Callithrix jacchus: one gene and its partners. The protein of the gene in region 5 purifies or fractionates together with the protein of the main gene of each other region. This does not show direct contact. Links are inferred from orthologs where the notes say so. Each region holds a gene or a part of one and is shown on either strand. Other genes may lie near its edges.

The links.
Region 1: the proteins of STK25 (region 5) and FGFR1OP2 purify together in Homo sapiens (affinity purification with mass spectrometry; 5 studies listed by BioGRID and IntAct, with this or other methods). This does not show direct contact. The link is inferred for Callithrix jacchus from reciprocal best matches to the Homo sapiens genes STK25 and FGFR1OP2.
Region 2: the proteins of STK25 (region 5) and SIKE1 purify together in Homo sapiens (affinity purification with mass spectrometry; 4 studies listed by BioGRID and IntAct, with this or other methods). This does not show direct contact. The link is inferred for Callithrix jacchus from reciprocal best matches to the Homo sapiens genes STK25 and SIKE1.
Region 3: the proteins of STK25 (region 5) and CTTNBP2NL purify together in Homo sapiens (affinity purification with mass spectrometry; 6 studies listed by BioGRID and IntAct, counting the BioPlex papers as one, with this or other methods). This does not show direct contact. The link is inferred for Callithrix jacchus from reciprocal best matches to the Homo sapiens genes STK25 and CTTNBP2NL.
Region 4: the proteins of STK25 (region 5) and PROSER2 purify together in Homo sapiens (affinity purification with mass spectrometry; 3 studies listed by BioGRID and IntAct, counting the BioPlex papers as one, with this or other methods). This does not show direct contact. The link is inferred for Callithrix jacchus from reciprocal best matches to the Homo sapiens genes STK25 and PROSER2.
Region 6: the proteins of STK25 (region 5) and PPP2R1B purify together in Homo sapiens (affinity purification with mass spectrometry; 3 studies listed by BioGRID and IntAct, with this or other methods). This does not show direct contact. The link is inferred for Callithrix jacchus from reciprocal best matches to the Homo sapiens genes STK25 and PPP2R1B.
Region 7: the proteins of STK25 (region 5) and CAB39 purify together in Homo sapiens (co-immunoprecipitation; 3 studies listed by BioGRID and IntAct, counting the BioPlex papers as one, with this or other methods). This does not show direct contact. The link is inferred for Callithrix jacchus from reciprocal best matches to the Homo sapiens genes STK25 and CAB39.

Annotation. Positions count from the first base shown.
Region 1 is NC_133510.1:44,307,404-44,311,450, reverse strand, and holds the start of FGFR1OP2 (FGFR1 oncogene partner 2), read left to right. Parts: upstream 1-1,247; 5' UTR 1,248-1,496; coding exon 1,497-1,686; intron 1,687-4,047. UniProt on the Homo sapiens protein: May be involved in wound healing pathway.
Region 2 is NC_133508.1:152,760,526-152,764,655, reverse strand, and holds the start of SIKE1 (suppressor of IKBKE 1), read left to right. Parts: upstream 1-1,330; 5' UTR 1,331-1,407; coding exon 1,408-1,578; intron 1,579-1,790; coding exon 1,791-1,896; intron 1,897-2,659; coding exon 2,660-2,802; intron 2,803-4,130.
Region 3 is NC_133508.1:150,364,140-150,368,435, reverse strand, and holds the start of CTTNBP2NL (CTTNBP2 N-terminal-like protein), read right to left. Parts: upstream 2,801-4,296; 5' UTR 2,742-2,800; intron 1-2,741. UniProt on the Homo sapiens protein: Regulates lamellipodial actin dynamics in a CTTN-dependent manner. Associates with core striatin-interacting phosphatase and kinase (STRIPAK) complex to form CTTNBP2NL-STRIPAK complexes.
Region 4 is NC_133508.1:2,290,009-2,293,508, forward strand, and holds part of PROSER2 (proline and serine-rich protein 2), read right to left. Parts: intron 1,064-3,500; coding exon 811-1,063; intron 1-810.
Region 5 is NC_133507.1:162,786,950-162,790,987, forward strand, and holds the start of STK25 (serine/threonine-protein kinase 25), read right to left. Parts: upstream 2,801-4,038; 5' UTR 2,719-2,800; exon of another isoform or gene 2,657-2,718; intron 2,357-2,656; 5' UTR 2,257-2,356; coding exon 2,227-2,256; intron 2,154-2,226; exon of another isoform or gene 1,885-2,153; intron 1-1,884. UniProt on the Homo sapiens protein: Oxidant stress-activated serine/threonine kinase that may play a role in the response to environmental stress.
Region 6 is NC_133511.1:11,467,480-11,471,721, reverse strand, and holds the start of PPP2R1B (serine/threonine-protein phosphatase 2A 65 kDa regulatory subunit A beta isoform), read left to right. Parts: upstream 1-1,442; 5' UTR 1,443-1,463; coding exon 1,464-1,577; intron 1,578-2,402; coding exon 2,403-2,493; intron 2,494-2,888; coding exon 2,889-2,989; intron 2,990-4,242. UniProt on the Homo sapiens protein: The PR65 subunit of protein phosphatase 2A serves as a scaffolding molecule to coordinate the assembly of the catalytic subunit and a variable regulatory B subunit.
Region 7 is NC_133507.1:152,263,591-152,267,090, reverse strand, and holds part of CAB39 (calcium-binding protein 39), read right to left. Parts: intron 3,431-3,500; coding exon 3,312-3,430; intron 1-3,311. UniProt on the Homo sapiens protein: Component of a complex that binds and activates STK11/LKB1. In the complex, required to stabilize the interaction between CAB39/MO25 (CAB39/MO25alpha or CAB39L/MO25beta) and STK11/LKB1.

The DNA of each region.
Region 1 (4,047 bases), on a different chromosome or scaffold from region 5:
CTCGCGCGTGCGCACAGCGCTCTCCGATGGACACCCCCACCACCCCACCAAGCCTCCCTTCCCCCTCGGAGGGCCAGGCGCCTCAGTCGCCGAACAGGAAGAGGGCGGGGCCAAGGAGAAAAAAACACGCCTCCACCCCTCGAGATTTTCTACCCGCTAATTTTCCCAGTCACCCATTGGGAAGAAGGATCTGGGCGACCTGAAAGCCTCCCAAACAGCGAAGTACCAACCACAGTACTGGCTAAACCAGACACGGCACCCTAAACGTAGGGCCCACCCACTCGGTCTCCCCTTCTCGGTCTCTCCACCCAGGCCGCTTTCCCCTGGAAAAAATCGCGAGACTTTGCGAGAGGCCGAGTGAAAACCTGAGAGGGGAGGACAGGGAGGGACATAAAAGGGCCCCGCCCCGCATGCTCGCGCAAAGCGGCTAGAGGTCGGCTCTGCCTCACCGTAACGCGAGGAAGGAAATCTCGCGAGGCTGGAGTCCTCCGGGAGCGACGGTCGGAGGCGGTCGGCGGAGGTGTCTCCCCAGTCGGTGATGGGGCTGAATACCGCTGGCCTCTCGGCCACCCCCCTGCCACCTCGGTCCGGTTCTGCGTCTGCTCGCTGAGGAGGCGGATTAGGGGCGAGGAGTTTCTTCCCTTGGGTGCATACGTCCGGGTTGGTTGAGGCATTGAGTTGGATCGCCACAGCTGACGCCTGCGAGGGACTAAAAGGAGAGTAAGTAGACTAAATCCAGGGACAGGAGCGGTGGTGGGCGAGTCGCGGGCGTCCTTCATTGAGGCCGGTGCCCTGCGCCTCTAGAACCACCGGCGCCAGCTCCCGGCCGCTTCCAGCCGCGGGCTCCCAACTCCTGGGAGCCGGACTTTTTCTCCGTGTCCCCCGGCTCCGAGCTCCTCTTAATGGAGCTGCGGTTCAGAAAGTTTAATGAAAAGCCTTGGCCCTAACCCTGTGGACACATCTTCCGTATCTGCTTTCTTCCTGCCTTACCCACCTGCGAGCTCACCACCGGACGGGGGACCCTTTCAGTCACCTGTTAGCAGCGTTTAATGAAGATAACTTGTTTCTTGAAACTGCTCTCCAAGGAGCATTACTCTGTTCTGGTTCTCTTCCTGTCGTCCTTCTGTATCCCATCCCTGATAATGGTTCCTTATCTGTCCTGTTATCCGAACTAGAAAACCAGGAATTATTCTTGGTTCTTCATTTCCACTCACTGCACTGTATTATTTTTTCTTTCGCCAGAAATACTCTAGTTGCCCCTTGCCCTACTACACTGGTTTCCCTACTATAATCCTTCCATAGAGTTATTCTAAAATACATATTTATCTCTGTTCTTTCCTTAAACTTTTTAGTAACCATATTGCTGACAGAATCAAATCCTAATTGTTAAGTACATCATCATTCAGGATCTTTTACAGTCTGTCCCAATCCATTTTACCTTTTAGTCTTGCTTTAATATCTGACCATAGCAGATTATACTGGCTGTTTCCTCAAACATGCCATGCACTTTGACAACTCTGTACTTCTGTACGTGCGGTACCATCTGTCTAGAACGCTTACTGTTCCTCTGTTTTACCACCTATCAAAACCCAAATCATAAATTTTTTCTTCTCAGACTCCCGCAGGTGAATGGATACCGCTGTGTTCCCAACGCGTTTGAAACATTTCTTCTGCAGTATTTATTAGGTTGTATTATTTGTTTATGTATCTGTCTCTCCTGCCAATTTGAACCTGGGTCTGGAATCATGTCTTATTCATCTCTGACGAAGAGTCCAATGCTTGGCTCGTAGTAAGCATTATTTATATGTACCTATGTATGCTTATAGAAATGGAATAGTGCTAAAGAATTCACCGTTAAGAGTTCTTCATCTTTTAATATCAAAGAATTTTGGAGCCAGAAGGAACTTTGTGCATTAGCTTAAAGGCCCCTGATCTGTTTTGAATTTAAGAAATCCTACACTTACGCAATTGTACTTTTAGTAATTGTTGATTGAAATTATATATGACAGAAAACTACTATGCTTTTAAATGACTTTGTATTTTATTTTTATAATATCTGTTTATGTTAGAAAAATGGAGCAGAAATGTTTTAGACTACAGACAGTGCTTGGAGTATGTGCATTCAGGCAACTCTTCCACTGACTCATTAGTCTGTAGGTTAGAAATAACTGGTTTAGATTAGGTTAGTTCCTTCCTGAATTGTCATAATTGTTTGAATATGAAACTTAAATTCAGCCACAATTCTAAGGGAACGTGTATTTAAAAAAAAAAAATCCTCCAGCGCCATTACTTCCAAAGTCTTTCTTCCAACTTTAAAAATTAATTGAATACAGTTCCAAACATGTATTCATTGCACTGTTTTCAAGGACAGTGAAAATATTCTTTGCTTTCAGATACAATGATATGCCTGTATCAGTGCTTATTTTTATATGTAATTTGTATGCATCGTTTCTTTCTTATGATTATGTTTCTATGAAAACCATAACTATATTTTAAATTTTTTTATTTTCATATGGGTCAGTTCATATTATGTACTACTTAATATCAGAGACGAATAACTTGAACATGAAAAAAATTTAAACTAGATTCTTGACATTTAAAGACACATCTAGGGTATATCAGTAGTCAGAATATTTCTTTGTATTCCTGTAGTGGTAGGTGTAGTTTACTTGCAGTTAAGGGAAACAGAAGGGTTTCCAATCTGTAAACATTCATTGATCTTATAATTAATGTAATGCCTAATTTAAATGATTGCTAGGCTTTTATTATCTGGAAAACATTCGAAATTTTTTTTATTCTTTAAAAGTTTTCTTATATTTCATACATATTCCCATTTATTTTCTGTGGTTGGCTTAAAAATTTTGACTTGAATTTCCTTAAATTTTTCTTAACCAAAAAACAGCTGGCAATTGCTGTCTTGGGTGGGCGGTGGTTTCTCTTTTATCAGCAGCAGAATGTTCTAAACCTTCTGCCAGAAGTCTGACTGCGAAAGTCTTTGGGTGGTAAAGTGGGCGAGAATATGACTAACACAGAAAAGAAAAAAAATTTTTTTAAACTTGGTTAAAAAAAATTCACTTGTAATTTGAAACTACCTATAGAAAATAATGTAAGTAAGTGTATTATGGCTAGTTAAGATAGGCACTATAAAAACAGGTTGAAAAGTGTAGAATATTCCTTTTTTACTGAAGTTTGTTTATAAAATTTGAAACTTGTTAGAGAGTTTGGAAAACAGTCTTCCTCCTACTCTACTTCCTGGCCAAAAAAGAGGGGAAGCACAATGGTCTTCAAAAAAGGTGATAAAGTAAATGCATATTATAAAATATTCAAACTTTTGTGTGGTTTCACATACAGGAAATGAACATGCAAATTCTTAGAAACTCTTGTCATTGTTTTTCTGAATTGCTAATAAAATTATGCTTTAAGCTATCTGCTGTTTATAATTCCTTTCCCTGAATAGGTAGGTTTTTATAGTTAACAAAACAGATTTTAAATGTAGTTCATTTTGTATTTCATTATGCAGTCTGGAGAAGAGTTTTTCATAAATCGGATGTTAATTACGATTTTTAAAAAGCCCATCCGTAAACATTCATTGATCTTATAATTAACTGTGACACCTAATTAAAATGGTTTGCTAGGCTTTTATGTCTGGAAAACATTTGACTTTTTTTTATTCTTTAAAATTTCATATGCATTCTTATTTCTTTTCTATTGCTGACCCAAAAAACTTTTCATAATATCTTTCATGTTCCGTTTGTGGGGTAGGATGAGGGAATTTGCTTTTTTTCCCCCCACCTAATGAGTTTGAGGTGGTTTCTATATAGGTAAAAAGCAAACAGGACCCTGGGAATTCAACTTGGCTCAAGAATAAAACACCGGACTGGGGATCAGAAGTTCTATTTTTGGGACTAGTTTGGCTCTTTTCTTGCTTTGTGGTGCTATCATTTGGCTTTTTAGATTTGGAATCCATGCATCTATTTCCTCATTGGTAAAATGGATATAAAACTTGTCCTCTTGCCCAAATGACAGTATAAGGTTAGTGTTGCTCAG
Region 2 (4,130 bases), on a different chromosome or scaffold from region 5:
ATTTACAATAGCAAAAGATGGAAGCAACCCACTGGATGAATGGATAAACAAAATGCAGAATATACAATACAATGGAGTATTATTCAGCCTTAAAAAGGAAGGAAAATATAATATGTGCTACTATATGGATAAAACTTGTGGACATAATGCTAAGTGAAATAAGGCAGTTACATAAATACAAATGCTGTATGATTTCACTCATGTCAGGTATTCAGGAAAGTAGCATGGTGGCTGCCAGGGGATGGGGAGAAGAAAGAATGAGGAGCTACTGTTTAATAATGCAGAACTTCAGTTTTGCAAGATGAAAGAGTTCTAGAGATGGATGCTGATGGTGGCTGTATAACAGTGTGAATGTACTGCTATTAATACTACTGAACTGTATGCTTAAAAATGGCTCAGATAGCCGGGCGCGGTGGCTCACACCTGTAATCCCAGCACTTTGGGAGGCCGAGGCGGGTGGATCACGACGTCAAGAGATCGAGACCATCCTGGTCAACATGGTGAAACCCCATCTCTACTAAAAATACAAAAAATTAGCTGGGCATGGTGGCGCGTGCCTGTAATCCCAGCTACTCAGGAGGCCGAGGCAGGAGAATTGCCTGAACCCAGGAGGCGGAGGTTGCGGTGAGCCGAGATCGCGCCATTGCACTCCAGCCTGGGTAACAAGAGTGAAACTCCATCTCAAAAAAAAAAAAGGCTGAGATATTAAATTTTATGTGTATTTTACCACGATTTTTAAAAAATTAAATGAAAATAGGTCAGGTGCGGTGATTCACGCCTATATTCCCAGCACTTTCGGAGGCCGAGGCAGACAGATCACTTGAGGCCAGGAGTTCCATACCAGCCTGGCCAACATGGTGAAACCCTGTCTCTACTAAAAATAACAAAAATTAGCCGCATGTGATGGCACATGCCTGTAGTCCCAGGTTCTTGGGAGGCTAATGCAGGGGGATCGCTTGAACCCGGGAAGCAAGGGTTTCAGTGAGCCGAGATCACGCCACTGCACTCCAGCCTGGGCAACAACAGCAAAATTCCGTCTCAAAAAACAAAAATTTTAAATTAAAAATTAAATGAAAATAAAAACTATGAGTAACAACCCACATCGATGAAAACCAGTAGGGAAAGGAGAACTTCCTACTGCCCAGTTAATCATGGCCTGACCAGCAGGCTGTGGGAATTGGAAACCAAGGGCGTGGCAAGGGCAGGTCTGGGGCTCCGCGCTGGGCAGGACTGCAAAGAAGCCACAGGTTCCAGCGGGTAAACCCGCAAACGGGACTGCTATTGCGCAGGCGCAAGACACCTTTTAAACGTGCCCGGAAGTGACGCTTGTAATGCTGAGACAGACTCCCAGATCTCAGCAAGTCGCGTAGCTGAGCCCGGCAGGTCCAGTGGGGTCGTGCCGCTGCTATGAGCTGCACCATCGAGAAGATCCTGACAGATGCCAAGACGCTGCTGGAGAGGCTGCGGGAGCACGATGCGGCCGCTGAGTCACTGGTGGATCAGTCGGCGGCGTTGCACCGGCGGGTAGCCTCTATGCGGGAGGCGGGGACGGCGCTTCCGGATCAGGTCAGGCAGAGGGTAGGAGTCCAGTGCTCTCGGATTCTGGGCACTGAAGGGTGGAGAGCGAGGTAAAGTGGGAACTCGGCCTGGAATTGATTCCGCGTCTCAGAGGGCGGCGGTGAGACATTTTTCCTGGGTCGGGGCTGAGAAACCTGCCCCGGAGCGCTGATTTCTGCCTCTTCAGTTGCATCTGCCGCTGTTCTCTACTTAGTCTGTCTCTGTTTGTCCAGTATCAAGAGGATGCATCCGATATGAAGGACATGTCCAAATACAAACCTCACATTCTGCTGTCCCAAGAGAACACACAGATTAGAGACTTGCAGCAGGAAAACAGAGGTTAGTCGGGCCTTTTCATATCTGGTAATAGTTTGAAAGGTATTGCAGAATTGCCCTAACCGTTCACAAAAATGTACATATATTTCCAGGTCAGTACTTTTAGTAGGCGAGTCTTCCTGTGCTGGCCCGGTAACAGCAAAGGTTTTTAGATTACCCTTTTCAAGATCATCTGACTGATTTTGTAGCAGCTTACCAAAGAGCTGCTAAGTAGAGTTGAATTCTTGCAAACTTTAATGTTTAATAAGTATTAATGAAAATAAACACTAAAGGTAAGGTTTAAGGTTTTGTTTATGTTCTTGTTCATGCAAGGGAAGCAGCAGAATGTTATTTTAAGGGTATATATTCTTCGGCTTGATTAGTATATTATTAATAATTGTAGTATTACTAGTTGTTTACCAGCGGGGTTTCACAGGTATCATTCTACTGTATTCTCCTATCTTCATTTTTAGCTATTTATTACAATGCAGTTAAGAAATACACTCAGAGACGCTAAATGATTTACTTACAAGTATTAACGAAGCAAGTTACAGAACTGAACTCAAACCCGTGTCTTCTGATGACATATCCTTTGTTGTTTCTGCTTCTCTGCCTAGAAAGTTATCTTTCACATAGACTTTAACTGTTCAGTTTTGTGGACTTAAACCCTGATTTACAGCTTTGGATTCATATTATCTCTATAGTGTTACAAAATTCCAACTGTTAAGACTTTGGATATGGGAGCGCTCTCTCAGACATCACTGCCAAGTTATTTTATTTTTGATAGAGCTCTGGGTTTCCTTGGAGGAACACCAGGATGCTTTGGAACTCATCATGAGCAAGTACCGGAAACAGATGTTACAGTTAATGGTTGCTAAAAAAGCTGTGGATGCCGAACCAGTCCTGAAAGCTCACCAGTCTCACTCTGCAGTAAGAAACTTTGAATAAATTCGAAATGAACTGAATTGAAATCTTGAGATTGTTCATTGTGTGCTTGTTTTTGTTTTGTTTTTTGAGATAGGGCCTGGCTCTGTCGACCAGGCTGAGGTACAGTGGCACGATCTCAGCTCACTGCAACCTCTGCCTCCTGGGCTCAAGCCATCCTCTCATCTCTGCCTCCTGAGTAGCTGGGACTACAGGTGTACACCACCATGCCCTGTTAATTTTTGTGTATGTGGTTTTTTGGTTTTTGGTAGAGATGAGGTTTCACTGTGTTGCCCAGGCTGGTTTGAAACTCCTGTGCTCAAGCAATCCATCTACGTTGGCCTTCCAAAGTGCTGGGGTTACAGGCATGAACCACTGTGCCTGGCCATGTGTGCTTGTTTTTGAAGAAAAGTAAGCTTGTTTTCCTTTCATGTTTATCACGTTTGTTGTTGATTTTGCCATGGCTTTGTAAAGATATGAATAGAAAGGAGGAGGATGGGGCTGCTCAGGTCCTTTTATTTGAGTAGGAGTAAGGTACCCCCTCCCTTACCAAGATCTCTTTTGAAGATGTTCATTAATTCTTAGCTCTCCCACCAAACATAATGCCAGTTAGTGTTGAAGATGCCCAGTAAACACTTGGTTGCTTATTCTTTATACATCTCACTTAAGCTCCTTTGTTGTAAGGAGCATGAATTCATATTTTATTCCTACCATAGTACCTGACATACAGCAGGCGGTCAGTAAACATTTTTTAAACTGAACTACATAGCATTATACCATGTTGTTAGGGAAGAGAAGTATGCTTTTTTTTAAAAAAAAAAACAAAAAAACAAGCATGGCATAGTTTCTATACTTTGCTTATGATCTAATTTGAGAGACTCAGTAATTATTCTTATGCTTGTAGGTGCTTCGTAGATGTCATTGTACATTCATGTGTACTGTATGATTTAAATCTAGATGTGTAGATTGGAGCCTACTATATGCTACTGTGAGATGCAGTGAAAGATAAGCTTCGTCTTAAACTCCATTGAATGCATTTTACTGACTTAAAAGTTTTAGGAAACAGATATTTTATAAATATTTGAATGGCTTTCATCTGGAATAGAAAAGTAGATTTTATTTTTTCTCTTATGGAGGAAAAAACTTGAACCTTGAAAGAGACAGAGTTTACTCAGATAGATAAACTTTCTAAGTGATATGTCCAAAGATGAAATGTAATAAGCTTCCTGCCAATTAACGTATTCAAATTTAAGTTAGCCACTTAGAGATAGTATCCAACATCCAATGGGTAGTTAAACTACAATTGATTTTTCAAAAAAAAAAAAATTATCTGT
Region 3 (4,296 bases), on a different chromosome or scaffold from region 5:
AGTTTCGAAGATTTAATTTTAGTCATTAGCAGCAAATCTCAGAAATTTTAATTTTGTTAATTTTTTGAGATGAAGTTTCTCTCTTGTCGCCCCGGCTGGAGTGCAATAGGACAATCTCGGCTCACTGCAACCTCCACCTCATGGGCTCAAGTGATTCTCCTGCCTCAGCCTCCCAAACAGCTAGGATTGTAAGAATAAGCCACCACATTCTGCCTCACAGATATTTCTTTATAGAAAATTCAATATTTTAGTCACTTAAGACATTGCAATTTCATAAGACTGTAGATGGGAAAAATCAAGTTAAGACAACAAGTAGGCTGTTTATACTAACAAGCTGTGTCACATCTTATCGGTGTATTACCTGTCAGTCTATCTTAAGGTGACAGCTTCAAACTAAATTAAACACTCATTAAGCCATTCTAGGAACTGTGAAAGATACAAAGATGAACAAAAAAAAATACCACTATCTGCCTTCAAAGAATGTATAATTTGAGGAGAGAGAACAGACCTATATCCTCGCATACTATTCTTGTCTTCATCTAGCATGACCAAACAGATGCTGAAAAGGTTAAAAGAAAGATTTTCAAGACCCAAAAGTATAACAAACAGATCTTGCTTACTGTGCTAAATAATAAAAGAACATTGTTTGCTTTTCCTCTCTATTAAAACCCGGCAATCGCCACAACTTTTGTTTCCTTAGACTCTTACCTTAGTTTATTTTCTGTTCTCTGCTGACGTAATACGACTTATCTTTTTGGGATTTTGTTATGCTTTTAGTTTTTTCTGCTGTAGTTGCTGGGGGCCAATGTCTTAGCCTTCTATTGCAGCACACATTGTCTTTGCTACAGAAACCTCCAGTTTCTTCTTTGTACTTTCTTTTTTTTAAATTTTTTATTGGATTTTAGGTTTTGGGGTACATGAGCAGAGCATGCAAGACAGTTGCGTAGGAACACACATGGCCGTGTGCTTTTCTTTCCTTCTCCCCTTCACCCACATTTGGCATTTCTCCCCAGGCTATCCCTCCCCACCTCCCCCTCCTCTTCTTTGTACTTTCTTATTGGAGATTTGGAAATAATTGCTGAAAAGATCTGTGAGTACCCAGTGGCTCTGAAACCTTGAAACCTAACTATTCAAAAACAATTACCTTCGGGAAGTTTAATCAAGCAGGTAAAAGACAACAGTCATTCCAACTCCTTGCATTCTATTGCTATCAGCTTTCGCTATAGCTGACAGTGGGGAGGTGGACTTGAGGTTGAAAGCAAAAGAAACTACGCTAAAAATATGGCAAACTTTAATATATAAAAGTGCCAGCGATGGATGATTACTGGAGAGTCAATGACATTAACATGAGATCCAAATCAACACCTTGCACCTGCTGAAATGAAGGCCAACTTGACAAAACCTTTAGAAACACACTAGAGAGACACTTTTTGGTAAACGTGAATAGCTAGAATTTCTATCTTGCCTTTATTTACTCTTATCTCTGAGATTTATAAATTGTTCTTTTCATCCTCTCAATTTTGGTAGGTGATTGTAAAGCCAATCAAAATATATATGTGTTTCCCGGGGGCAGGGGGAGAAGGACACTCTAAAAAAGGGGTTAGAGAGGAAGCACCGGCCGCAGGACTAGATTAATCATAAACCTAGATAACTGCACCTGAATTTGCTTCAAATACTTCCTGCCTTTTGTTTCAACCTGCAGTATACCTTCAAGGTTAACTGCAGTCTCCCTGAGCAATGGACCAGCCCACCCTAGACTGGGATATACTCATTCCTAATCGACTGCTATTTATTTACTTTTGTATACTGTTTCATTTGAAAACACCGTGTTATTCATTGACTGTCAAGCCACATACACTGCATTCCTGCCCACACAAAGCCAACTCTGCAGATATTCAACACACCCACCTCACTGTGAAATGTAAGATGGCTTTTCACCAAGTTCTCAGGGGAGAAATAGGGGTGGAAAAGGAAAAATGAAACGCAATTCAAATCTAAGAAACCCTCCGAGGCTGGACTATCCCAGAAGGAACAGAAAGTAGACGGAAGGTACAAAGGGTAAAGGAGAGGAGGTCCTATTTCTTCCTCTTTTAGAGTCTAAAGAAGTCCCGAAGCAGGAGAGCCCCTGACTCCTCACAGAAGGCCAGAGATGCCGGGGGCGGCGGGAGGAAGGCTGAGTATCAGAGAATGGGGGATGGGAAGAACAAGTCGGGGAAGCCGCTTCCTCGGTAAAGCTGGCTGTCTAGGTCGCGTCTTTGATTTTTGCTTCGCCCCATCCCTCCTTTTTGGAAAACACGAATTATATCTTACGGAGGAAAGCAGCTCCAGTTCCAGCCTGGCGAGCTGGGACAGGTGTAGGGAGGAATGCATGGCCTTCCGGGGGTACAAAATGGGGTTGGGGGCGGCAGCCTAGAGAATCGGTAGCTGTGAGTCCTCTCCGCCAAGGCTGAGGTGCGGGGTGGGAGGAGCCTTTGAATGAGGGGTGTCAGAGGGAACCCCCTTCTGAGGAGCTGGGAATCGACAAGGAACAAAAAGTAGCTGTGAGGACCCTCGAAGGATGAGGAGCCAGCCGCCTCCTCGGGGAATACCGGGAGGTGGAGGAGACGGCCCCGCCCCCTCAGGGGATGGGCCCGGCAGCCGTTGGGACGGCGGCGAGAGGCTATCGGTGCCCCTACCCTTGCTTTGCTCTCTAGAACCCGGCCTCCCAGCCATCACCAAGCCCCAGGGCTACTGGCTCCTACCTTTCCGCGACGCTCCGGGAACCACTCTCCGCCGCCTCCACTCCCCATCCACAGCGGCTGAGGCTCCGCCCCCTCAGCCGCCCGGCGGGGACATTGGCATTCACCATCGCCAATCGTCTCCTTGCTTCTCCAGCCCCGGCCCCAATCCGCGCCGACTGGAGGCGGGGCTTCTCCAATGTCATTCAAGCTCCTCCCGGGGCCCCAAGATCCCTTTTGTTTGGGAAGAGCCAGGCTGGGATTGAGCTCGCGTCACTTCCGGGAGGAAGTGTCCTCCTGGGTCCCGGGGTTCAGGGTGAGCTCTAGTCCGCGCCTCTCCCGGCCCGGGGTCTGCAACTTTCCACCTTCTGCGTGGTTTCTGGGCAGGACCGTGGCTAGTGCTTCATGCTTTTCCCTGATTGTATGGGGAGTTTAGGAATGGAGGGCTCTGGTAAGCCTGAGCGATTGGGGTTTTATCCAGAATGTTAATAAATGAAGTGGGCTTTTGTATCTGCATTAGAATGAATTAGTTGTTGAAAACCTGGCTTCGCTGCTCCCGCCACCCTTTTTTTTTTTCTTTTTTCTGTGGGCGTGGTGCTGGAAGCAAGGGTGCAAAGATGAAATACCTGGAGATGACCCTTCTCTCAACCACATTTTGTACAGAAGAGGATACTAATTTTGGGGGACGTAAACCCAGCCGACCTTTTTTCCAGGCGGAAGTCGAATAATTGCAAATTTGTGTGGCAGGTTTTCTCTCTCTATGCTTGCCAACTGAGGCGACTTTTTTCTGTCCTTGGCCTCATTATATTGTGGGGAATGGTTTGCAGTGAAGCTGAGAGAGTGGAGAGTACAGAGGATGCAAGGAATGTCTGCCTTGTGAACACAGGAATGCAGATCTTAGAGGCAGCAAGTCCTAGGCAGGACCAAATAACTCAGAGAGAGGAGTGGATGTTTAACTAGCTGTATCCCTACCTGAGGTCAAAGTTTTTTAATTCCGTTTCCATTGAATGGCTGTCAGCTCACAGATTGATTCAACTGGTTACATTTACAATAACCACATTATTTTAAATATACGTATGAGACAAATATAATGCCTAAATAATTATTAATTAATAATTAATACATTATCCCTAAGCTTAGCAATTACAGTTTGCAAGACAGCATTAGGGACCTAGTACTTGCCTAGTCAGACAGTCCTCAAGGCAGATGCAGCCTGCCTCATGCAGTTTACAGTCTGACCGAGGGATGTAATCAGTCTGTGATTGAGTCTGAATGAAGTAAACAACTATTAATGTTATCATTGTGCCATGTACTTTCATTTAATGGTATTTTATGTCATCTTGAGTACTGTGTGAGAAATCTATCCTACAGTGTAGGATAGATATCATTGTGTCCAACTTACGGACGAGAAGACAGAGATTCAGAGAAATCAAATAAAAGCTAGTAAATGGTAAAGAACTTCCAGTAAGGATGTGTGACTCCAAACTTATGCCATATTCTGCTCACTTCACGTTGGCTCTCACAGGGTGGACTGAGAATGGGCGTGGATGATTGTAAAGCAAACATTAGAGCCAGAAGG
Region 4 (3,500 bases), on a different chromosome or scaffold from region 5:
GCTCTGCCACCCAGGCTGGAGTGCAGTGGTGCGATCTTGGCTCACGGCAGCCTCGGGGGGGTTCAAGAGATTCTGGTGCCTCTCCCTGTGGAGCAGCTGGGACTATAGGTATGCACCACCAGGACCAGTTACTTTTCACTGTGTTGGCCAGGCTGGTCTTGAACTCTTGGCCTCAAGTGATCCATGACGCCCAGCCTGTAAAATAATTACCTGGAAGCCATTTCTAATTTTCTTTCTGTGCATGTGTACATTGTGTATGAAAATGTAAACTCCGGGCCGGGCACGGTGGCTCGCGCCTATAATCCCAGCCCTTTGGGAGGCTGAGGCGGGTGGATCACCTGAAGTCAGGTGTTCAAGACCAGCCTGGCCAAAATGGCGAAACCGTGTGTCTACTAAAAGTACAAAACTTAGCCGGGTGTGGTGGCAGGCGCTTGTAGTTCTAGCTACCAGGAAGCTGAGGCAAAAGAATTGTTTGAACCCAGGAGATGGAGGTGAGCTGAGATTGTGCCACTGCACTCTAGTCTGGGCAACAAGAGTGAGACTCCATCTCAAAAAAGAAAAGAAAAAAACAAAAAAAGGAAACTGTAAACTCCGCTTCTGGGCCCAGTTCGTTTCCTTCTTTATTCTAGTCCCTCTGGCATTTCCCTTTGCTGGACAATGAAACTGCCGAGGATGCTTTTCCCCTAAAAAAATCTGGGAAGACTCAACAGCTTCTACTGGCAAACACAGGAGATCACAAAAAGAAGTATCTCTGTGCCCCACAGACACCGGCAAACCATGTCCCAGGCCTGGCCTGTGCTTCCCCCTCACCTGCTGCCTGGGTCCCCTCTGGAAGGCCCTCGGCTTCCCTGGCGCCAGGTACCAACTGCACTAAGTCGATGACATCTTCAGGCTCGGAGGGACTGGAGGTGCTCTCTTCCAGAGACGGGGAGCAGACGCAGCATGCTCCCCCATCACACAGCACTGGCTCCTCAAAGTCCTCGTCCAGGGAGTCGATCGTCTCCTCAAAAAACAGAAGGACATCCTTTTCCTCATGGGTGAGGTACTTCAGGCTCTCATCATCCTAGAGAACAGGTTTGGGGATTGGGAATGGAAGAAAACAAACAGCAGTTTCATTAAAGTGACAAAAGCCCAGGCAAACTCAGGATCAGTCCATAGCCCTGGGCAGAACTCACTGTCCTGAGTGCCCTGCCATGCTGCCTGTGTGTGCCTCCCCATCACCCTCAGAAAGGCAGAGCCAAGCAGAGCCTCAAAGCTTTGTAACAAGCCCTCACCTTGGGGTTCCTAGCAAGTCAATGACAAAAAGGGCCTGTTGGGGAATGCACTGGCAAGCTGCTGTCAGCCTACTGCTATCTGGCACACTTGTTTTTCCATAATCACAGGAAACCTCTGCTTAAAGACAGTGGATTGAACTCACATTTATCTCTTCTCTCTCCAGAAACCTTACTAAAACAAGGGATTTTTTTTTTTTTTTTTTTTTTTTTTTTGAGGCAGCATCTGACTCCGTTGCCCAGGCCGGAGTGGAGTGGCGTGATCTTGGCTCACTGCAACCTCCACCTCCCAGGTTCAAGGCATTCTGCTTCCTCAGCCCTCCCGAGTGGCTGGGATTATAGGCATGCACCACCATGTCCAATTAAAACAATTAATTTTTTGTATTTCTAGTAGAGATGGGGTTTCACTATGTTGGCCAGGCTGGTCTCGAACTCTTGACCGCAGGTGATCCACCTGCTTTTGCCTCCCAAAGTGCTGGGATTACAGGTGTGAGCGATCATGCCTGGCAAAATAAATGGATTTTTTAAAGGCACAAATCACAACGATAAAATAGCAGGACGAGTGATGACAGAACAAAAGCAGGGCAGCAGGACAGATGGAGACAGAGTGAGAAGGCCCAGGAAAGCCAGAGACCCACCTGCTGCGTCCTGCAGAACCTCCCAGAAGCTCAGGCCCTGGAGGTGCTGAGCGGCTCTGGAAGTGTGGGCAAGGTGAAGAGAGCCCAACTGTTTGAAAGTCTCTTTCAGAAGCAATAAGCTCATCCTGGCACAAAACTAGCCACTTACTCTCAAAGGTGACAGAGGAACCCTGAAGAGGGGCCACAGAGCAAAGCTGACGGTGGAGTGCTATGTTAACAAGGTAGGCTACCAGTGTAGATGAGGACGTGTTAACAGTGTGGCCGTCAGTGCAGCCAAGTGGCCACCCTCCAGACAGAAGACTGTACGTGTCATCTCCGGGGAACTGAAGGATCCAAAGGCCAAGAAAACTGATCCCAAGGGTCCCCCAGCAAGATTAGTCACAGGGAAAGATGACGGTCAATGAGTCCCAGCGTAGACCTGTGCAGCAGTTTCTTACTGTCCGACTCTGGAGTAGGTGCAGATAGCTAACAACCACGGAGCGGCTGAGGAAAACAGTTATGTGAAAGAGCTATCAAAACAAAGGACAAAAATGCAACTTACAGGAAATGAACTATTGAAAACTTCAAAAAGGTGCATCATCAGTTGTCAGGTAAGAGATTCTGAATCTATAAACAGCATGTTGTTTTCTTTACAAGATAAAAGACTATTAGAAACAAAAAAAAATTAACAGCAGAAAAAAGTGAAAAAATAAAAGCTTAAAAGATAAAGTTGTGAAATCAGAAAACTATGAAAAAAAAAGGGCAAGAAAGTTGGAGGATAGATCTGGGAGGGCCACTTTGTGAATAATGGGAGTTCCAGAAAGAGAAATCAGAGATAATGAGAGGAAGAAATTATCAAAATAAAGTAATTCATGGGAATGCCTCTGAAGAGGAGCACGTTTCCAAATTGAAAGGAGTCATGAATGTACAACCTAATGAAGAAAAAGCAAACAGACCCATGCCACGGTATGCATTGTTGTGAAATTTCAGAATACTGAGAGCCAAGAAAAGACCCTGAAAGCTTCCCAGACTTCCCAGAGTGAAAAAGCAGGTCACATACAAAAGACCAGAAATCAGAGGTGAGGCAGGTAGATGACTCAAGCCCAGGAGTTCAAGACCAGGCTGGCCAACACGGTGAAACCCTGTCTCTACTAAAAATACAAAAATTAGCTGGGCATGGTGGCATGCACCTCTAATCCCAGCTACTCAGGAGGCTGAGGCAGGAGAATCACCTGAACTTGGGAGGTGGAGGTTGCAGTGAGCAGAGATTGCACCACTGCACTCCAGCCTGGGTGACAGAGTGAGATTCTGTCTCAAAAAAAGAAAAAGGATCAGAAATCAGACTTTGACAACTGCCTGTGGTTATGTAAGAGAGCATCCTTGTTTTTAAAATGTACTTCAGTATTGAGGGGAGTATTATATAGCAACTACATTCAAATGGTTCAGAAAAAATAAAGCATGCATGTGTGTGTAGATATATATAGAGAGAAAGAGAGCGTGCTAAAATGTGGAAAAAATTTTAAAATTAAAGGGTATGTGGGAGTTCTCCAACTTCATTAAGTTTGAAATAACTTCCAAACAATTTAAACAAACAAAAGTCCAGGGATCAGAA
Region 5 (4,038 bases):
GCTTCAGAGCAGGAGAGCACAGTAGACCCCTAAGCCAGAGCCAGGGCTCATCAGCCCAAGCAGAAACTGTGTGATAGGAACCCTCTTGGCTGTGATCCTGGTCCTGCAAAGACATCCCAGGGGGGAATGGGACCCTGCCACGGAGGCTGAGAACCCTCTTCTGGATATAACAGCTGTGGTCTGGATGACTCAGGCCACTCAGCTGACTCTGACGGTGGACACCTGTTCTTCACATCAGCCCTGCGCTGCCAGGTGTGCGGCCTCCACTTGCCCGTGTGTCTGCTGTTAGTGTTGCCCCACAAACAAGAGGAGTGGCCCAGCACACGCACCAGAGACATCCCCAGATGCCACCTGAGAGGCAGTAGCCGAGCGACCATACAGTGCTCTGGCACCCCACAGCCATTCGGGCCCTCCAGGGCCAGGCAGGAACTGGCTAGGCAGAGGCAAGAAGCCTAAGGCAGAAGCACAGGCTGCAGGGGGAATGTACCTCACTCTCCCATGAAGGGGCTGCCCCACAGGGCTCAGGACACCATGGCAACCATCTCAGGAGAAAACCACAGCCCCTCAGGTTTCCTGCCACTATCTGAAGTCAAGTCTCTCATTCCAGCCTAGGACAGAGGGACCCCTAAAAGGACAAAAGGTGTTTCCTACCTCTAGAGTCCCTTCTCCAGTGTGCCTGCACTCCCTCCCCTGGGTCTGATCACACCAACGACCAACAGGGTACCTCAGAGCTCCAATTTCTCATCCCAGGACCCAGGGGAGCCATTTCCGCAGTTCTTAAACCGGTGGCTGGGCATGGTGGCTCACGCCTGTAATCCCAGCACTTTGGGAGGCCAAGGTGAGAACACTTGAGGTGAGGAGTTCGAGACAAGCCTGATCAACACGGTGAAACTCCGTCTCTACTAAAAATACAAAATTAGCTGGGTGTGGTGGCACATGCCTGTAATCCCACCTACTCAGGAGGCTGAGGCAGGAGAATGGCTTGAATGTGGGAGGCAGAGGTTGCAGTGAGCCAAGATTGAACCACTGCACTCCAGCCTGGGCAACAAGAGTGAAACCCTGTCTCAAAAAAAAAAATTTTTTTTAATTAAAAAAAATTAACTGGTGGCAGATTTTTCTCCCAGCCCCTTAGTCATGTAAGTTACCAGATACAGCATGTCAAAAGCAAACCAAAAATCTGTTAGCGTAATTCGGCATCAGTCAGCATGCCCCAGTCCCCATCTGTGACCACAGCAGGTCCGGGATGCCTGGCCCAACAGCTGCACATGGTGTTCCGGGTCTCTAGGCTGGCCTGGTTTCCTCCAGAGCAGCTCTGGCTCCAGTTCCTGCCCCTGTGCGGACAGACTCGCTTCCTGTTCCACAGCACGCCCAGCTCGCAAGGATTCACACAGGAGGGGGCAAGGAGGGCCACACTTTTTAGCGGCGATTTCAACACCTTCAACAGAGCCAAGGCTTCAAGGGGAGCAAAACCAAACAGCTAAGATGTAAAAGTGGAAAGGGGTACAGGTGCAAGTCCCCAGGCCCCAGGCTGGCTGTCCCCACCCTCCTTTCCTGGCACACACTGCCAGGGCTCGCTGTGGTGGGTCCCTCTGAGGCCACCCGTTAAAACTCAAGGCCAGACGCTTCAAAGTGGCTCCATGGTGGGAATGACCAGAATCCAAAGAAGGAAGAGACGAGTCTCATCTTTGGGGAGCCGCCCGGAGCGGGTACGAAACGGTTCTGCACAGAGCAGCCTTCTCACCCTCCCCTGGGCAAAGCACACACGTGTCCTCCGCTTCCCGGCACGCAGCCCGCACCGGCCCACTCAGACCCGCTTCGCCACATTCCCTGCCCCTCGGCGCCCGTCAGGGTCTCCCCTCCGCTCCTGCCCAGCCCAACGCTGACCCTCCACTGCCTTCGGATGCTGCCGTGAGGTTCCCGCCCACGCTGGGGGCAGCGCCCTGTCCCCGAGCGGACGTCTCTCCACGCACCTCCACCACCCTCGCACAGGCGGAGCCACCGGGATCCCAGCCAGAGGCCTGCGAGCTTCCGCCACGCGAAACGCCACAGGCGCACGGCAGGACCCCGCCCCGCGCCCACCTCGGGACCGCTCTGCTGGGCGCACGACGCGCGCTCCTTTCCCCACCCCACGGCCCGCCCCAGCGTGGCGCACCCCCCGACCCCCCGGGAGACCCTGGCGCCCCTCGGTGAGACACGGCGAGCCTTCCCGACCTGCGCCCTCCTCACCTGGTTGGCAAATCCCCGGAGATGAGCCATGGCCGCGCCGCCCCAGACGCTCCGCCGGCAGCCCCAGGAGGCGTCGGGATCCCGCCAGGAGGCGCGGAGCCGTCTCCTTCGCCCCTGCCGCGTCAGTCCACTGCGAGGGACAGCAGGAGCGCTCGGTGCCCGTTTCAGTCATCTGAGAACGAGCTCCGGGGCGGCGGGCTGCAGAGGGGGGCCCCGGGAGACCCCCAGGCCGCCGCCCCGCCACGCCCGGGCCTAAGGCCCAGGCGCCCCGGGGCTCGCCGCCCCTCCCATCCCCGCCCCCACGTCCTCCGAGGCTGCTTCCTCCCGTTGCCCCCGCCCCGGTGTCCCCCCGCCACCGAGCCCCGCCCCGGTCCCCTCCCTCCGCCCCCTCCCCACTCGCCGCAGGCTCCCAGCCCGGCAGCGAGCCCACCTCCGAGGGGCTCCATCCCGGACTCCCCCGGCCCGCTCTGCAGTGCCCGCGAAGGCTCCCACCCGCAGCCTCCGTTCGCCCGCGGACGCCGGGCCTCCCAGCCCGCGAAGCAACGGTGGTGGCGGCGGCGACCGGAGAAAGCTCAGAGGAGGCGACGACGAGGGCGGTGCTTAGCGTTGAGGCCCGCGCACGGCTCTCTGGGACTTGGAGTCCTACCGCCCACTCCAGCCCCGGAAGCCTGCTGGCACTGGACTACAAGTCCCGGCAGGCCGCGCGGTGGGGCGGGGATCGCATGCGCGCAGCGAGGCTCTCTGGGAGCCCGAGTCCAGCTCCCGAAAGGCTCGGACTGCATCTCCCGGCTGGCTGCGCGGCGGGTCGGACGGGCCACGTGGTCGTTGTCGCGTCGCGCCCTACCTGCCTCGCCCTCGCGGGCCTCCCGCGTTTGCGAGCGCCGGTTGGGCGTCGTCTCCGACGTGACGGCGGCCGGGCGGCTTCTCCGTTGGGCTCTGCCGTGCGCAGCCCTGGTCCGAGCCCGCCAGCTGAGGCCTGGCGCCCTCCCCGCCTAGCCCTGAGGATTCACCGCAGCCGCCCAGGCTCTCAGCTTTGTCCTCGTGGGCAGAGATGCCCCAGCGCTGGCCACACCGCGAAGCACCTGTTTGCACTGAGACCCCGCCTAGGATCCCGCGCACAAGCCAGGGCGCACCAGGCCTTGGAGAAGCTACTGGCACAGCCCATCCTTGGGGCGAGTTGCTTCGCTTCTCCTGCCTCAGTTTCCTTACCTGCAAAGGGGTGATCATAGGACATCCTTGGTCACCCCGTTGTGACCTCTCCACCTGGGCTAGAGCGCCGGACGCGCCCAGGACAGTGACTGCTGCTAGAAACCATCATGGCACTGGGGTCACCTCCCCAAGGTCAGGGAGGGACTTGCAGAGCCCAAAGCTACCTGGTGCGTCCCCCTTCCCCGTGGGCCGCCAGTTCATAGTGCTCCACCCCTGCCCCGAGTGCATTCCCCTAGCGCACCGCAGGGGTCCCCACCTGTCCAGTGAGGAAGATTTGTCTCTCCTCCACTCTGTGTCCATGATGGCTCCGCACAGGTGACTATCCCGGCCTCCCCCACCCTTCCTTCCTCAAGAAGGTTCTGGCGTTTCTCTGCTCCCCGGTGAATGTTTTCTCATTGTGCATTGCCGAGTCCTTTAAGAAGCTAAGCTTCTTCCAGGTGAGGTGCCACGCGTCAGTAATCCCAGCACTTTGGGAGGCTGAGGCTGGTGAATCACTTGAGGTCAGGAGTTTGGGACCAGCCTGCCCAACAGGTGAAACCACGTCTCTACTCAAAATACAAATTTTAGCCAGGTGTGGTGGCGTGCTTCTGTAATCCCAGCTAC
Region 6 (4,242 bases), on a different chromosome or scaffold from region 5:
TCCCAAACTTTCATTACTACCAAAGGCTTTATCTGTTGTGCTTACTTCCAAGAACCCCATTTATTTATTTATTTATTTATTTACTTACTTACTTATTTATTTTTGAGACCAGGTCTCATTCTGCTGCCGAGACTGGAGTACAGTGGCACGATCTTGGCTCACTGCAACCTCTGCCTCCCCGGCTCAAGCAGTTCTCACTCATGTTAGCCTCCTGAGTAGCTGGGACTACAGGCGGCCATCACCAGCCCAGCCAATTTTTGTTTTTTTAGTATAGATGGGGGTTTCACCAAGTTGGCCAGGCTGGTCTTGAACTCCTGGCCTCAAGTGATCCACTCGCCTCAGCCTCAGAGCCCCATGTTTTAAAAAAGTTTGCCTCCTACACACTGCATTAATAGTTTTAATTTTATTAATCAGGCACATAGAATTACCATTTCAGAACTTGCGATCACCATATGTAGTTATCACTCCAAGCTGCTTAAATTCCAGTCTAAAACAAACAAAAAGGACATTCTAGTTATTCTGTGCTGCCCTGACACGGGTAGGTGAAAACTTGCCATTCAGTTTTGTAAGAAGGAGCTCCCAGATCTCCACTTCTTCCCCTTGCTGCCTCTGAGGACTCTTGGGGGTTTAGGGAGGCCAGTCTGGGTTTTCTTATTCAAGCAAAGTAGCCACCCCACCCAGTTTGGAAGGATTAAAGCTTGTCCTAGTTTTGCTTCATTGTTGTACTTCTAGCATGCTAAAGAGCTGAAAAATGGGAGGAAGAAAATACAACAGAAGGCACCATTCCAGTACCAAACTGAAAAGAAACACAAAAACAAGAGAGCAGCATGTTTTTAACAGCTTGCGTGGAAAAAATATTGACTGGGGAGTTTGGACAGCACTGTTCATTTTCTCTCACCGCCCGCGTTATTTGTCTTATGGAGCAGGAGCCAGATACCATTCTGGAGAACAGGCCGAGGGAAGAGGTGGAGGGGTTCTGTGGAAGCTTGAGGCTGAGCTGAGTAATTAGGGCTGGAGATCCTGTGGCTCAGTGCCAGGATGCAGTCAGGGGAGGTGCTAAAGCCTTCTTCCTCCTGGCCTCGGGCACTCTCTTTGGTCCGCCTGAGTCTTAAGAGGGCACAGCGCGGATCACCCAGGTAGGTCCCTGGCCCCTTCAGACGAGCCGGATGAATCACTGTCCCTGTTTCTTTCGGCTAGGGAAAGGACGCAGGGGTTCCATTCGCTTTCTCAGTCCACCCATCTTCTTGAGTTCAGACCTACAACTCCTGCATTGGGGGTCGGAAGGGAGCCTTAATCATCGGGACAGAAACTCAGCTCCTCAACCTCGGCTCAACTCGCGTGGCAGCTTTAGTCCCTCCTGCCAGGGCGCGGGGCGGGGCCTGGGAGCGGGGCGGGGGCTGGGCGCGGGGCGGGGCCTGGGCGCGGGGCGGGAGGCGGTGACCAGCAGTAGGAGGAGAAAGAACATGGCGGGCGCAGCGGGGCCCGGGACCTGCCCGGGAGCAGCCGGCGGAGGTGGAGACGATTCGCTATACCCTGTCGCGGTTTTAATCGACGAGCTCCGCAATGAAGACGTGCAGGTACTGGACTGAGCCCGGGGAGCCGAGGTGGGCCCGGTCGGTCGCGTGGTAGAGAAGGGGGAAGGCCTGTGCCGCGGTGGCTATGGCCGGGGGACTGATTGAACCGGACTCAGCAGAAACTTGGAAGGGCAGGCGAGGAAAGATCCGCGAGGGGACGTGGTGGCACGCCCCGACTCTCCCGGTGACCGCTCCAGTACCCCTGCTTCGGACCCCCTGAGGCGTCCGCCCGGAGCCTGGCCTTTCCAGGGCGGTTGTCCGGGAACCCGCTTCCCGCCTGGGCCGCCCCGCTTCGGGCTGTGAGGCAGCTGGAGGAGCGCGGTGCGGGGCCGAGACCGGGCTGGAGCGACTGAGGGCGCAGGATGCGCAGAAGCCCTTTGAAGTGTCCCGGAATCCCTTCGTCTCGGCCTAGAACTGGCTCGGCTTGTTGGGTAGAAAGAGGAGGTGGGATTGCCGATCAACCTGGACGTGTCGTATCAGCTTTACGGGAACTTTTCTTTGAAACGACAGGCGTTGTATTCGACCGTTTCACCTGCTTCACCACTGCCAAAGTGCCCTCTTTTAAAAATTATCTTACTTCCTGGGTGTTGTATTATCTTTCATTCATTTCTCTTCCGGGGCCTTCTGAGTGTTTCTCCTAGGAAATCTTCCGCTGGCTAGTGAGACCGAGTTACATTCCTCTTGGAAGTCCCTTAACAGTGAAATGTAAATGAAATGTTAGTTATCCTCATTCTTACCCGTGTCATTGTTTCACCTGTTAGCACCTTTTGTCTTTTGATCTAAATTTAACCGTTTCTTTACATTGATTTTCTTTCTCCTTTTCTGAAGCTCCGACTCAACAGTATTAAGAAGTTATCAACAATTGCCCTAGCACTTGGAGTAGAAAGGACACGAAGTGAATTGCTGCCATTCCTTACAGGTATGTGAACCTTTGTTTAAAGAAAGGCAGGGACATTCCATTTTCCAGTAGCTTTCAACACTGACTTTTTTAGTTTGTTACCCACATTAAAATGAGCCGGGTGGTTTATGTGCAAAAGAAACAGAACAGAGTATATTGTTACTTGTGGCTAGATATATTCAAACAATAACCATTTAGCTATTGGGAAAGTAATTGCTATGAGAATATGAATTTCCAATTTGTTGTGCAAAACAGATCTAGGAAGAGAGTTGATTGAGGAGAAGGAAGAAAATGCTGTTAGGATTTTGACTGGGCCACCTTACTGGTTGCATAGTGAATCTGGTCCTAGTTTTGCGTCAGTGTACGGCTGCTGTGGGAGAGCTGTGTTGATGAGTCCCTGTTGTTGTCACTTCCAGATACAATTTATGATGAAGATGAGGTACTATTAGCTCTTGCTGAGCAGCTGGGAAATTTCACCGGCCTAGTGGGAGGTCCTGACTTTGCCCACTGTCTGCTGGTGAGTATACTGCTGCTTACCCTCCTTCCAGAACTTTTGCAGTATAAATGATACATTGTTTCGTGACAGGCATACTGCAGCATTTTTTATACAGATCTTTTATGGGCAGATTATCATAATGTTAGTCACTGAGAGAATAAATAATGTAAGCATTTTGGACTCAACCCATTCTTTTTTTTTTTTTCTATGAATAAGATAACTTTGTCCTTCTGTGTCTGTATACGTATTAGTTTAGATGTAGGGAGAAAAAGGATTTGATTGTTTTTATGGTTCCCCTCCCCCCAGGTTGAAAGTCTTAATTCTCATCTAGTGGCATTTTGTCTTTCTCAGTATAACTTTTGCTTCTGACTTTGTGAGTTTGATGAATTTAGTTCAATTTAATTGACATTTATTGAGAGTCTGCTTTATCAGACACATCGTTAATTTGCAGTGTTAATGTGAGTGGGCTTGTGGTACAAGCCTGTATAGTACCAGCTACTCAGGAGGCTGAGATGGGAGGATCACTTGAGCCCAGGAGTTTGAATCCAGCCTGGGCAACGTAGTGAGACCCCTATCTCTTAAAAAAAAACGTGACCACCAGGCTGGGTGTGGTGGCTCAAGCCTGTAATCCCAGCACTTTGGGAGGCCGAGGCGGGTGGGTCACGAGATCAAGAAATCGAGACCATCCTGGTCAACATGGTGAAACTCCGTCTCTACTAAAAATACAAAAAATTAGCTGGGCATGGTGGCGTGTGCCTGTAATCCCGGCTACTCAGGAGGCTGAGGCAGGAGAATTGCCTGAACCCAGGAGGCGGAGGTTGCGGTGAGCCGAGATCGCGCCATTGCACTCTAGCCTGGGTAACAAGAGTGAAACTCCATCTCAAAAAAAATAAATAAATAAAAATTACCACCAAAGTAAATGGAATGAGGTCCCTGCTTTTATGTGCCAGCAAATAATTACTGTGCAGTCTTATATGGAAAGATAGAAGTATCTACAAAATACCCACATAATAAAGGGGAGAAAGGGATTAACTCAGGGTGATCAGGAAAGACCTCTTGGGAGATGATGTTTGAACTGGGTTTTAAAAGATGACCAGGAATTCAACAGTTGGACAAAGTAGGATGTATGCTTCAGGGCTTTCAGTACTGGGTATGTAATACGATTCTCGCAATTTCGATCTCTAGCTCTGACTTTTCCATGGAACTCCTGAGGTAGATTGATTAATAGATAAGTATGAATGTGTATATATGGAGAGATCTATATTTTTCTATCT
Region 7 (3,500 bases), about 11 Mb from region 5:
ATACCTGCTTACAAAATGGCTGATCATACAAGTCATCTCTGCTGATCTTTAGTAGGCAGGAAGGACAAGGGTGAGATAGTTTGGTACAACAAGTTGAGCAGGTTTTGATGGAGGCTTGTCAACCTTGTCTAAATGATAAAACCATAAACCAATAAGTCCAAGGCAAACAGTTATGCTGTATAACCTGTGAGCATGAGAGTGAACAGCACATTAACATGTAAAATGCCAGTAAAAAAAATCCTATCGCCTCCAAATGTAGACTTCAAATGCATGCTAATATTAGCAGCATAGCCCCCCAAATAAGTATCTAGCACAGAAGTACTTACAGATTAAGAAGATAATCACATAATATGGAAGCAGTCTAAATCAATCAACGAAAGTACAAAAATCTTAAAATGCTGTTCACAGGGCTCCCTGAAGGAACAGCTGTTTCCAGGTCTGGCAGGACTCGTACAAAACGAGCAAGATGGTTATCCTATGCCAGAAAGCAAGGAAGCCATCACAAACTGATGGGGTCTTGCCAAAGCATCACAGAAGCCAACTTCAAGGAGCTCCCAATAGCCAAAGATGAGGTAATCTGGATACAAGAAAGTAATGACTGGAAGGGATTGAGACATATCAAATATATTAAAAAAAAAAAAAACAAACTTGAGTTTAAGGCTGGGCGTGGTGGCTGACACCTGAGGTTGGGAGTTCAAGACCAGCCTGAGCAACATGGTGAAACCTCGTCTTTAAAAAAAAAAAAACAAAAAACCTTGAGTTTATAATGACCCTTAAAACAACTCAATGCTTATCTAAGGAAGTGGCCATGTCGCCAACTGATTATACTAAAAAATGAGATAATATTTTGAGATAACTAAGTCATCAAAAAAAGGAAGGGTTCTTCTTTATATAAACAATTATATGAAGAAGAAATAACACAATTGGGAAACGGCCATTCTGAATCTAGGCAATGATTGATTCTCAATGGAAACTAAAACCACTAGTGAAAGGGCAGATGACAGACTGACAATATCTACATCCACTGGTCAATCGAACATCACCAGAAATGGGATAACCAGTGTCACCTGATATGAAGCACACAGCACCATCCATGAACTTCCCCCCCACCAAAGTGAATCTGAATCTAATAAAAAAGCCAGATCTACTATCCACCACTTAAATCGATAGCGGATAGTGGAACATGTTCAAGAAACAACAGAAATGCAAGTCTAAAACAGAAAATGTATGATTTTTCTACAAAACAAGCAATCCAGGCTTCAACAAAGAAATGGCATAATATTAACTATTATAGATGAAAAGAGAGCTCAGAGTTCTATTAACCAAATTCAGTTTGTGGACCTTGCTTGGAACCTTTTTTTTTTTGAGACCAAGTCTTGCTCTGTCACCTAGGCTGGACTGCAATGGCGCAATCTTGGCTCACTGCAACTCTGCCTTGTGGGTTCAAGTGATTCCTGTGCCTCAGCCTCTCAAATAGCTGGAATAACAAGTGTGCGCCGCCACGCCCAGCTAATTTTTGTATTTTTAGTAGAGACAGCATTTCACCATGTTGCCCAGGCTGGTCTCAAACTCCTGGGCTCAAGTTATCCACCTGCCTTGGCCTCCCAAATGCTGGGATTACAGGTGTGAGCCACCACGCTCAGTCTGGAACTAATATTAAATAAACTAACTGTGAAATGCTCTTTTTGTGAAAATTGAGGAAATCTGAAAATTGGGCAATAGACATCAGGTTTGCAAATGGTATCGTTAACTGTGTTATACTGTGTTTTGTACTGTGTACTAGGGACATACTGAGGTGATCATGTGTCAGAGGAAAAAGGAGGCAAGGAACAAGAACGACAGAACATTCGTAACTGTTGAAGTGGGTTGAGGGTAGGAACTGGTATGTCACATTATTCCCTCTAGTTGTATGTACATTTTTCACAACAAAGGTGGTGGGTGGGGCTTCTGGTTGATTGACCAGTTGCATGCTCCACCCTACTTCCTAGCTGGAAGTGTCTGCCCTGGAGAGCGTAGGTGAGAGCTCCAAACTGTAAATTGTATCTCAAAAGTCTTTCTTTACATGCCATTTAACAACACTCATATGCCTCTGATTACTCTCAGGTGAAAATGTCGGCAGCTAACTAAAATACTGATTTGAATAATCACTGGTTTCTATGGAAAAGGAAATATGGGCTTTAAAAATACATGAAGGCACCTGAAAGCTGCTCTAAGAACACTAAAGGTTCACACTACCCACTACATGTTTACTCATACAACTCTGAATTGATACAACAAAAGTTAGATGCCAAAAGTTCTGTAGCCCAACATCTGAAGAAGTAACACAGATGGTTAGAAAGAGAAAGAGGGAAGCAGAATGCTGGCGTGCAACACAGGCACTGACTCATGCTTTGTCTAAACAAGTTTGAACTTGGGGGAAGTGTTAAACCGCAGAGATGTGAATCAGACTGAGGCAAGCTATAAAGCGAGGAGGAGGACAGCAAGCTGATTCATGCCAGTGGTCATGTCAGGAACATGCCTGCCCACCATCTTAATAGAACAGGCCCCACCAATGCTGGGACAAACAGATGCACACCATACTCGGGCTGGCACACGACTCTGGTGGGAAAGAACAAGAGGTTACCTTGCCAGTCAAGAAGGCTCAGGGATGAGGGAGAAGGGCATTTGTTTCTATGGTTCAGTCTTTAGGCTTTTCTGTTTTTCTCTGCTTTTAAATTGACAAGACCACCCAAACATTAATGCCTGCTTAGACCAGTAGTAATTCCAGGAAGATGCATTGTGAATTGCCAAATTATATGGATTAGTAAGAGGACACACAGAGGTAAAAATCAAAGGGCACTACTAATTCATAAACATGTACTTTGCTGACTCAACAAAGTAAAGCTATAGAGAAATCATGCTTCACTTAAGAGGCAGCTTTTACTGCCTTATGGTGTGCATATTATGTCCAAAGGAGAGGTCTTTCAATATAGAACTTAACTGATACTGCAATGAATTCCTACTTTTTAAAGTCCTAGAGAACAGAAGTAAGACCACAGAGGATTATTTTTTTCCCTTCAGGCATGCTGGATTTGTGAATTTAAAAGCTTAGAAATCACCTAATTCTAAGCTCCCATCTATAGGGTATTTTCAAATTCAATTTAGCTCACATATTGAATTTCAACAAGGAAAATGTGTTCAAAATCTGCGGAAAAATTATCTGACTCAATTACAGAGAAAATGCTTCCCACATTCAGCATCCTGCTTTTTTCTCAAGGCAACCTTTCCTTTATGTTCAACTAAGAATACAAATTTTATTACATTGTACATACCCTTTCAATAACATGAACAAAATATTCTGTTGGGTGCAGATGTATTCAACAGTAGGAGTTCTTGTACCAATTTGTCTTCTGAGAATATTGTTGAAAATTTGAGCCACGTCTTTTTTGCCCTATTAGGAATACAATCATTAACAAATTTTCCTGACTAAACATCAAAATGCCCATTCACCCTCCCAAATG